3 linked regions of the Drosophila melanogaster genome follow. The protein of the gene in region 3 purifies or fractionates together with the protein of the main gene of each other region. This does not show direct contact. Each region holds a gene or a part of one and is shown on either strand. Other genes may lie near its edges. The genes, in order: CG4849, Bx42 and l(1)10Bb.

Region 1 (3,754 bases), on a different chromosome or scaffold from region 3:
AATGTCACCCTCTTTGGGTCCAGTGTATATATGGTCCACCTTTCGCTTGGCATTTTCCAAAGGGGATTTAATGTGCTCCACGCACATATCCACAAAACCGCTGCAGTCGCCCATGAAGCGGTTACAGACGAGACGCAGCAGTGGTCTTATATTGGACTTCATCTCCTCCTTGGAGACGCGCACATTCAGCTCGGCCAGAGTGTCCGACAAAGTGGTGTCCACATCGCCAACCACCTGGGCTATCAGCTTGTACATGGGCTCCAAAATGAACTCCACAAAGCTGCGCTGTGCCGAATTGTGCGGCTGCTTCTTCGAGAACTTGCGCCTATTAAAATAGTTGGTATTAGCAAATGATTTGGATATTTAGGCAGCACTTACGTTTTACTGTTGAAGTACATGTCACCCCAGAGCCGCTTGGCAAAGTCCAGGTAAGCCACTCCCTCATAGGTGTCTGCATACAGCTTGGCAAAGGATTTCAGAGTGAAACAAAATCCGTACAACGAGCTGGCGAAGCACACGTTGCCCAAAATAGGCGAAACTAAGAGATTGTCATCTGGAGCGCCATAGGTGCTGTAAGAAAATTACACATTAGTAAAATCATTAGTGTTGAGTATGAATCACGTAATCACCTCAGCAGCCCATTGACTTCCTCCACAATGTGTTTCAACTTAAAGTAGGCGTCCTGGGGCGGCAATTTCAGCTCCAGGATGAGGCGATCAATCTGCACGTCAGAGGAAACCATTAGAAAGTTTAGTGTCACCTTAAGGCCAAACCCTCACCTTGTTTATGCAAACGGTGATAGCCTGGCGCTCTTGCACCGCGTGCTTGAGCAGTCGCTCCGTGTTGAGCATGACGCCCTCGGCGGCATCGATGAACAGCACGACACCATCGCTCATTCGCATGGCGGCGGTGGCCTCGTCCGAGAAGTTGACATGCCCCGGGGTGTCGAAGATGTTCAGCAAGTAGCTCTTCTGTTTGACATCCTGCAGGACAAGTGTGACCGGCGTGGCCTTGATGCTGCAGCCGCGTTCCTGTTCCGTGAACAGGGTGTCCGTGTAGCGCAACTGGCGCTCCTCCATGGTCTCAAATTGCGGATGCGTCTGCCGGATGAGGCAGTCGACAAAGGTGGTCTTGCCGTGGTGCAGGTGGCCAACCAAAGCCACGTTGCGAATAAGCGGCGGAGTGTCCATGAGATCGGCCATGAACTCCATGTCGTAGGTGGTCTCCTGCATGTCTTGCTCCTTGATCTGGAACTTGAGCTTCTTCACTGGCTCTATAAGCGGCTTGTCCAGCGGCTGGGCGTCCTCCTCCTGGACAATGGTCTCCACATCCGGGCCGTAGACCTCAACTGCTGACGGATAGTAGCGTTTGTCCTCGTGCAAAACCACGGCGGTCACCTCCTTGTCCTCGTCCTCCTGTGGCTCCACCTCGTCCTCGTCCATGGCGTCCTTTAAATGAAACACCATAAATTAATTATAAGTTTTATTTTATTTTTTGCACGTTTATACCTCTGGGTCATCCTGCACATCGGGTTGCCCATAAATACTTTGCTCATCTTCCTCGTCGCTGTCTAAATCGGGGCCAATATAGTTGCCAAACTCATCGTACAAATCGGAATCCATGGTTTTTCCTAAAATAAATATATATATCAATACTTTCATTCAAAATTTGCCGGTGGCGTCTTAGAAAATTTAAAACTTTCACGGTGACTCGAAACTTATGCTACTCTTGTTTTTTGTTGTTTTTACCGACTTACCAATTGTTACAGGACCTTCTGATTGCTAAATTCTTCTTTAAAACGTAAGAAAACTGCAAATAATATAATTATTCACAATTTTTACACAAAAACGCGGACTGCAAACACGCTGTTCTTCTTCTTCCCCGAAAAACACTCAGCTGTTAAGCGGCCGGCATTACCTACGGCATTGCCAGCACAAATAAAGTAAGCGCTTGCAGCCCTGGCGGCAACATTTGAATTTTCCAGTTCATTAGGGCTAATTAACGTTTTTGCCAAGAAAGCAGGTAGCTAAAATACGCGTTGAAACGTAGGTAGACCCTTGCGTTTATATTGCACTGCAGTCGCCAAAGGTAATTAGTCGAAAGTGTCAACCGAAGGTATCAGCATCATAATGAGAAAATTCTGTTTGCTTCTTTTAATGGCGCATTTTGTGGCCTCAAGCCGAAATTTAAACGATATTCTCGGTCGCGAGGAGTGGATTAGCATAGCCAAGGAATACATCAAGAACCACAAGCCTTACAAAGCCAAAATCTACACACCCTACAAGCCGCGCATCGTAAATTTTACCAATCCGTTCGATGGAGATTTTTGGGACACAACTACGGTGGCCACCAATCCGCAGGAGACTACTGGCTACTTCACTGGGGAAGTATCTACTACAACGGAGAAAAGTGCCACTGAGGAATCTACAACTACGGCGGTGGATTATTCAACCACCGAATCTAGTTATGTAACTTCAACCACGGATACTTTATATTCCACGACAACAGCTTGGCCGGAAGTCACCAGCACAGATGCTATAGATGCCACTGAATCAGTAGCCCTATATTCCACAACAACTTCGAGTCCAGAAGCTGCAGATTCAACGACAGAAAGCAATTCAGACAGTACTGAATATGCTGAATCAACGTTAATTTATCCAGATTTATCTACAGGATGGCAAGAAACTACTACAGAAACCATTCAGAGCTCTACAGGATTGCAGGAATCAACAACAACAGAGTTTATGCCAAGTACTACGGAATTTCCGGAATCAACGACTACTTTAAGTTCTGAATTTTCAGAGAAAGAACTAATAAAAACTACCACAGAAATAGAAATCAATCCAAGCACTACAGAATTGCCGGAATCAACGACTGAATCTGCTGATTCTACCACAGAACCGAACGAATCCACGTTTGCATTATCCACAGATCAAACTACAACTGAAACAGCAGAAACTTCAACAGAAGAATTGTTTTCAACCACAGAAACCCAGGAATCTACTACATCCTTGCTGGAAATCATTGCCACGACTCCGGGCGTGGAAACTACCACGTCGTATCTGGATGCAGTGATTGACAGCACCGAAGAGGAAAGTTCTACATTATCAACACCATTTGGATTTAATTTAACAACAACGGAAATAGTAGAAACTCAAGTAGAAACCACAACACCAAGGCAATTGAATTTCGTCGAAGATTACGTTCGCCAGAGACCGAGAAAATTGAAGTACTCTTCGGACACGGAGCCGGAACTTTACTGGTACTGAAAATGATTGCAAATAAAAATTAAGAGTTTGATTAAAAATTTTTAGAAGCAAAAATTAAGAGTTTTAATTTAAATAAAAACGTAAAGCAATTGGCAACGCGATTTAAGCTATGGCTTATTTTAAACTAAGAAACGCGGTCACACTGGCCAAAAGCCAAACACATTGTTGTTTGATTTTTCAGCAGAAATTTTTTATTTTTTATTAGTTTATATCGTAAACATGAGTTTGTCCAGCATAAAACAGAAAGAAGCTAAGGGCAAAAAGAAATTGCTGCCCAAACTGCGCAATATTCTAGCCAATCCTTACAAACAGCACAGGTGAGGCGGGCAGAAACCAATAAAAACCCAATCAACAGGTTGTTTCTTTTGACTTTAGCCCTCTTTTATCGGAGGAGGAAGTGCAGCAGTTCCGTCAGATCCTTCAGAATGCAATTAAAAGCAGCGACGGGCAGACCAAATCGTTTGCCACTCGATACGGAATACATC
Region 2 (3,754 bases), 2.2 Mb from region 3:
CGGGAGCCGCCCGCTGCAGGTTTCTATCCCGCTGGCGCTCCCTTTGCCGCTCTGCCCGCAAGTCGTTGCGTTCACGCACCTCGGATCCTGTAGCTCCGGAACCAGATGGCTCGGCTGCCTCCGGATTGCGTAGTCCCGCTCGCTCTTCGCGAGCCCGCTGCGCCATCATACGCAGCATATCCTCCTTCTTCTCCTTCTCCTTTTGGGCCAGCTTCTTTTCCAGCTGGGAGCGTGCCTCCACCGCCTCGCGCGCCTTGCGATCGGCTATGTACAGCGCCTCGGCCATCTTGGCGAACTTCTCGTTGATGTGCACCTGCTGCAGACCGCGTCCATCGGCTGCCAGACGCTTGTCCAGTGGAATGGTGTAACCTGATATCGAGGCAAAGATTTAATTAGGATAATGAAGAGGATTCTAGTTTTACATTAGCTCGCACCTTTGGCGTTCTTCCAGTTCGATATGCAGGGCGGGATCTTCCACTCCTTTTGCTCCTTGACCGTCACCTTGCGCGATGGTGAGTGGAGGACAGGTGCCGGCGGCGATGGTGGACCTCGTGGAATCTTTTTGTTAATGCGGAACTTGGGCGGCTCCATCGGATCGAGCTGCGCCTCCACCATCCGGATGACACGCTGCTTGGCGCCCGAATTGAAGGTATCGCCCTGCTGCGAGGGCGTGTACCGAATGTACTGGGCGGGACCCGCCTTCTGGGCATGGCGCACGGGCAGCGCTGAGGTGATCTTCTGGTTGGTCAGCTTCTCCAGCGCCAGGCGCGTCTCCTCCGTCGTCTCCATCACCGTTTCCTCGTCCGGGCGCTGTAGTTCATCCGCATCTTCGGCCAACACCTCCGCCGGCAGCAGTTGCGAAATGGACGAGTACACAATCTTGTCCTTGCCATGTCCTTGGCGTGCTATGGCATCGTATTTAACCTTTCCCTTGTCGTCCAGGCGAACGGCCAGAGCATCCGACTTCTTGCCAACATTTCCTGGTGCTCCCAGACCTGTCGAGAAGATGAAGAAGACGCAGAAATTGTTTCAATTGAATAAGCCACGCTTCAAAATGCTGATCATAAAATACAAAAATACAACATTCTACAGCAAACGTTTAACTTAATGTGGTGGAAATTGAAGCCTTCTCGCTGTACAATCACCCACATATAAGAAGCTAATGGTTATTTCCCTTACGAGGACACCATTACCAACGAAAAACCGCGACAACATTGTTTGCAAGCACAGAGAAAGTGGGATTAGCACGAACGGGAACCCACCTAGTGGATATTGCGCCACATGGATCTCCGGGAAGGCGCCGCCATCGCCAAAGTCCGCATCCGTATGTGGTACCCAATCCTTACGCTGTCCGTACGGCGGAGCAGCGATTTTGGCGGAGACCAGGGCTCCGATCTTTGGTGCTCCGCGGGCGACCAGGCGACGCTCGTCCTCCCGATCCCAGATCGCGTTCGTCGGCGTGGGCAGCAGGCTTGATAGCGACATAGCTTATCTGTTATTTGTGGCGAATCAATTCTTATGTGAAATCACTTTTCAATATGCAAGCCACAAAAACTATAATGGAAAAGTCGAAAAAAAAAACACGCACGCACACGGACACACACAAGCGTACGGGTGTGTAGGGTTGCCAGACTGCTAATAAGAAAATGCTATAGAGTATGGTCCCTTTTAGGGATGGATTGCATATATTGCGTTTTTCTTAAGACGTAAGAAAACCAAATTGGTAGAAATAACAAAGCGATAGCTTTTTCCAAATTTGAACGCGAATCGGTAGTGGATTGGTAATGGTCATCAAACATCATCAAAATTTGCAAAAAATGGTCAAAAAATTGAATTTGCATTTTTGAACACAGTTTGATTTGAAATTTTATTACGAGCTTAACGAGGTATGACATTCCATATTTGGACCATTATTTCGAATGTTCTTATCAAAATACTACAATATGGTTTATAAAAATCAGGGGCAATCAGAGAAAATTTGAATAATTTATTTTTATTACCTTAACAGAACTGTGCAATACTTAAAAATATAATTTATAGACATCCCCCTAATAATTAGATAGATATAAGTGACACTTGCCCGATCGATACTATCGCATCGCCCTAGCCGCTGGCAGTGCCATCGCTAGCAGTTCAGTCAACAATTTAAGTTTTTGTTTTTGTTGGCCAAAAACACAATACAATGTACACATTGATGCACGGCTTCTACAAATACATGACTCAGAAGGACGACTACTGCGTGGTAATCCTGGGCCTGGACAATGCTGGCAAAACGGTAGGCAGCTGAATCATCCAATGAAAGCCTCATGTCCAATCGGAAACTAACACCTGTGCCCACGTAGACTTACCTGGAGGCCGCCAAGACCACGTTTACGCGTAACTATAAGGGCCTCAATCCGAGCAAGATCACGACGACGGTGGGCCTCAACATCGGCACCATCGACGTGCAGGGCGTACGCCTCAACTTCTGGGATCTTGGTGGCCAGCAGGAGCTGCAATCTCTCTGGGATAAGTACTACCAGGAGTCGCATGGCGTCATCTACGTGATTGATTCCAACGACAGGGAGCGCATGGAAGAGTCCAAAGCGATATTTGGTAAGCGAAAACAGTCTTCGAACTAATCCCTTGAACAAAACTCGTTTTGATCTATTCTGATGATCTCTGGTAAAAGGAAAAAGGTTCACCTAAAATGTGTTATTCTCTTTCCCCACAGACAAGATGATCAAGAACGAACTGCTGTCCGGAGTGCCTTTGCTAATCCTGGCCAACAAACAGGATCTGCCGGATGTGATGGGCGTGCGGGAGATCAAGCCAGTTTTCCAGCAGGCGGGTGCTTTAATCGGGCGGCGAGATTGCCTCACCATTCCCGTATCCGCGCTGCACGGCGAGGGCGTGGACGAGGGCATTAAGTGGCTGGTGGAGGCCATCAAACGACATGCGGTGGTGCGGCCGCCGCGGGAAAACGATTAGAAGATCAAGCAGAAGACATCTGGGCCTGGTAGTCGGCCCTCCACTGGCTTTAATTAGACATGTACTTTTGTAAGTTAGGGGCTTAGGATAACGCTTATTTGTAATTAGCCAGACGAGATTGCGAGATACCAATTGTAAAGATGCGTTGTCATTATTTGCAAAGACCTTTCTTTTCGGTTAACTACTGCTGAGAAAATGAGGAAAACAATGTTAGAAAGCTGTGAGACTTCTGCATAGGACAACGAATTACAAATACTATTGTTAGAATAACAAAGAACGCAATGCTTATTAGCCAATTAAGTGCAAGAACTATAAATTCAGAAGTACTTGAAGATGTATTTGAAGAAGTACTTTGTTCTGTTAATAACCCAGATACATGGGTATTTGGATGCCAAAAATGTAATAAAACTGAATCCATTCGCAGCTGTTATGGTTAATCGTTAGCCACAAAGTGTGTGGGCGATTCGAGGTCCACCAAAATCGGGAGAGTCGCTTCTTTATCTAACAGCACTGCACTCGTAGTACACCTCGATATGGCGGTTGTCAATGGGGCTCCGCTTATCCGAACCGAACGACACCGAACCGCGGAAAGAAACAACCAGCAAACAGACGGGATTGTGGTGTTCTCACGGCGGGGGGAGCATTATTATTACCATTATCAGTCCGATAGATAAGTGCTGTGTGTGCCACCAAAAAGCAAAGGCGGAGGAAAATGAAAATGAACTAAAAACAACACCTGGTGAGTGGCACTGGAATCGTCAGTCTTCCGCAGGAGTTTCCACCG
Region 3 (3,669 bases):
ATTTGCCATGTGAACAATAAAATCGACAGCGCCGCGTTTGTTTGGCAAATGAGAAAATATGCAGACAAGTATAATTAAAAAACCATTTATAATCATTTTCGACCAAATCCCAATTGGCCACCCAAAACCAAACCAAACCCCGCAGGAACACTTGAAGCCTGACAGTTTTCAGCTTGAGAATAAGTTGGGAATGCCGATGGCCGGAATACTCTAGCTGAATTGGATGACTCAAGGAAATATGTATATACTCTTATTTCTATATACTCAAATGTTGAACTAGGGCTTCCATTTTCGGACAATAAAGAAACACTATACCCTTAGAAAGAGTACTGAAAATCGAGGAGCAAGGCGACGATAAATGGACGCACATGAAGGAGACTCCGCCACATCCCCGAAAACGACATTGAGTTTGAATTATGTCAGCGCAGCAATAAATTGTCCAAGGCATTAAATTAAAATATATGTATGTATAGTATATATCGTTTAAAGAAAAGCTGTGAAATCATTAGAAGGACGTACGTAAATTGCATATTTTACTACAGAAATTTTCACAACTCACATATTGAGATGGCTAGATTATAAAAAAAGGAATATATTTAAGTTAATATTCAAAACTCCACTTCGACATATGTAGGAAATTTAATTTATTAAATGCTTTTAAACATTTTCATAAATTATAATCTTTATTTATTTGATTAAACTACAAGTTAATTTCTATCTTTTCTATACATTCTAATACAAAAATGTCTGCTCATACCATTTCTACATTTTTTTTTAAACAAATCGGAACGCATTTCCCAACGATGCCTTGTCGTTTACATAATCGGTTTATTGCAGCATCTATTTAGATGTTTAGCATGCCATTAACCATAATTGTGGCTTGTATTTAAATGTATTTACATACTATGAAGAAATCAGGCGAAATCTAAAGTTGAACCTACTGAACTATGTATTATGAGGATTATTTGTGTCGAATAAAGATGCCAATAATGCGTCCACATGGAATCTAACCGGAGCAGCCGCGACAACCGCAGTGGACACACTCAACGATCCGACCCTCTTCCAGTTTGCATTTGGGCACCCGGCATATGCAGTTCGTGCCGAAATTGGTGTCCCTCGTTTGAATGCAGCGCAGGCAGCATAGGTTCTCGTATCCAGACTTCTTCCACTTGGCAATCAGATTGCCATCGGCAATCTTCTCCTTCAGACAGTAGTCGTACAATTCCCGGCTGATGGCTTTCCGGCGATAGAATAGATCGTAGATGTATCGTGTCTTCTGGTGGTGGATCTTGAAAATGGGCCAAAGGGATTCCGTAATGCGTTTGCCCTCGTGCGGTTCCGTTTCGGCTGTTTAAGAAGGTTAATAATATACGTATAGGATTATAGTAAAGTTTTCATTATCACAGAAGCCGCCACGCTTGTCCTTACCTTCGCGCATTTTTTGCTCCAGTTCCTCGAGAGTTGGTTCGATCAGCTCCCAACCGTCTGGCGGTGGTTTGCGACTGCGGCGAACCTTGGGCATCTTAAATGTTCAATTTATTTAACTGTAAAACTGTTTAATTTCTCTTAAAAATGCTTAATTTTGCTTGAAAAACAAACATTTCACAAACAGCTGGCTACTTAGCGATGACACTTTCCACATGGGCTGTCCACAGCATCAAACGGTTATCGAACACTCACTATCGATAGGCCGTGTCTAAGCCGATTGGCGATAGCACTTTATTGTTTTTGTTGTTTTCCTTTTGGGAGACGCGTGTGTGTGTTTTGCGTGTGATAATTTATTTATTTTCCCGTTCCGTTTGTTTATGCACTGTAATTTAGATTCAGTTTTTAGCACAGGCGCAGGAGTAAGTAAAAATTAACATAAAAACAAAAACCAACAACAAAGCGAGTAACAATTTGTCGAAGTGAGTGCGCAAAAGTGCTGTGCTTGTGTGTGTGAGTGTAACACTTAAAAAATGGTCTAAAAAAGCAAGAGATTCATTCATAAAAAATGCAACAACAAAAGGGGGTCGCCAAAAGAAGTGGAGCGCATAAAGATGTGGTGACTAGAGGGAGAGACAAGCAGAGAAGAAGGATCAGTGACAACAACAATAACATCAATAACAATTTGGCCTTCGCCTATTGCTAGCGCCCTCTCGCTCCCACACGACCACCCGTGCAATCAGCGCCCACATAACGGACCTACGTTTTGGTGTTACTTTTCATTTTTGTGCTACTTGTTGTTGATTTTTTTAAATGTGTGTTTATGTGCAATTCTCGCCCAAATTCTTTGTATTATTTAGTGCTTGGCACAACAAATAACCAAATAAACTGAACTATTAAACAACCCACACAATTGCAATTGCATATCCACCCCCCAATTCGCACTGAACGCGCGTGTGTGTGTGTGTGGTTGTGTGTAATGAGCGCAACAAATCAGTTTTGTTTTGTTTTTTTTTTTTAATTTGCAAATTCCCCGTTTTTTGTGCGCTCTAAAAGTATGTACATATGTGCAATGAAACAACAGTCACCGCCAATAAGCAATATCCCCACGTATGACCCATTGTTTATCTTAAGAAAAGCCAAAGACTTTCACACACTTATCGATAAGATAAAATTTAAGCTAAATACAATGGCTAGTAGATAGTTCTTTCTCACTCGCCGTATGCGACAGTTGCGGCCAACATAATATAGCCAGCTGGCTATTATTAAGCGGACCTACTATTTTCGTCACAGGCAACTTCATACTCACAAATAAGTATGCTTAAAAACATTTTCTTTTACAATATGATTCATAATATATCAGACATGCGTATAAACAAATAAAATAGTTGTCGTACAAGTCATTGGATGATGATCTCGCTGTTTTACATAATGATATTTGCTTACGTTTAACGGTGAGTCAATGCCAAGCTGCTATTACAGTGCCCACCGCTGTAACCTGCATAACAACAGCCGTTAATTGAGGCGCAAATATTTGTAGTTGTCTCCCCCTCTTTGTGGCGCTTCGCGTGCGGTGGGGAGCGGGGTGGAGCTCCGAGTGACAGGGCATTGGCTTTCGTAATTGACGTCTGCCCTTGACCAAGGCCTAAAAGCAACAGTGAAATCGGCTTCACTGGAATGGAAACCGCGATCATAAGCAGAGCCATTGTTCGTGCAAGACTTAAGCCGTTCAAACGGCTGAAAACCAATATCATACTATATTTTTGACGTCTTTGCAATGCTTCTTGGCACAGAGACACAGTGCGGGGCGTTTAAATAGAACCACTTTGTAGCAAAATATAGAACTATAAAACTCGACTATATGCCTCAAACAAGATTTAATTTAATTTATTATATAATATAATTTGGATATATTTAATAGAAGAAAAGCTCTTCTAGTCTTAGTACTGCTATAATTCTGATAATATCAGACCTTTTTACGTAGTTTTCACGCACCCAATCATATTTTTCTGGTCAGACTGTAAATTCGTAATTACTTTCCACTTAGTTTCACTAGTTATTCAGTTTACTTGGGCTTACATTATTCGAGAGACGCCAATTAGACCGCGTGATACGCTTTCCCATGCGATTTTAGACGTCACAGGTGCAAACAATGGGAATTAAGGTCAGGCTGTAGGGACTTTTAGCGTATCTGAGCACAAAGATCCCCCTTCGCATCGATATAAACTGATCACGATCTGGCGC

The links.
Region 1: the proteins of l(1)10Bb (region 3) and CG4849 purify together in Drosophila melanogaster (affinity purification with mass spectrometry, with the first as the bait; one large-scale study listed by BioGRID). This does not show direct contact.
Region 2: the proteins of l(1)10Bb (region 3) and Bx42 purify together in Drosophila melanogaster (affinity purification with mass spectrometry, with the first as the bait; one large-scale study listed by BioGRID). This does not show direct contact.

The regions. Positions count from the first base shown.
Region 1 is NT_033777.3:27,961,556-27,965,309, reverse strand, and holds the start of CG4849 (uncharacterized protein), read right to left. Parts: upstream 1,896-3,754; 5' UTR 1,757-1,895; intron 1,631-1,756; 5' UTR 1,623-1,630; coding exon 1,509-1,622; intron 1,449-1,508; coding exon 780-1,448; intron 722-779; coding exon 630-721; intron 571-629; coding exon 379-570; intron 326-378; coding exon 1-325. Other genes in the region: CG31131 (uncharacterized protein), read left to right, coding at 2,130-3,269.
Region 2 is NC_004354.4:9,104,963-9,108,716, forward strand, and holds the start of Bx42 (Bx42), read right to left. Parts: upstream 1,643-3,754; 5' UTR 1,486-1,642; coding exon 1,263-1,485; intron 996-1,262; coding exon 435-995; intron 370-434; coding exon 1-369. Other genes in the region: Arfrp1 (ADP-ribosylation factor related protein 1), read left to right, coding at 2,183-2,275, 2,343-2,595, 2,714-2,970. UniProt on the Drosophila melanogaster protein: May play a role in chromatin structure and function.
Region 3 is NC_004354.4:11,323,664-11,327,332, forward strand, and holds l(1)10Bb (lethal (1) 10Bb), read right to left. Parts: upstream 1,646-3,669; 5' UTR 1,523-1,645; coding exon 1,429-1,522; intron 1,348-1,428; coding exon 1,007-1,347; 3' UTR 631-1,006; downstream 1-630.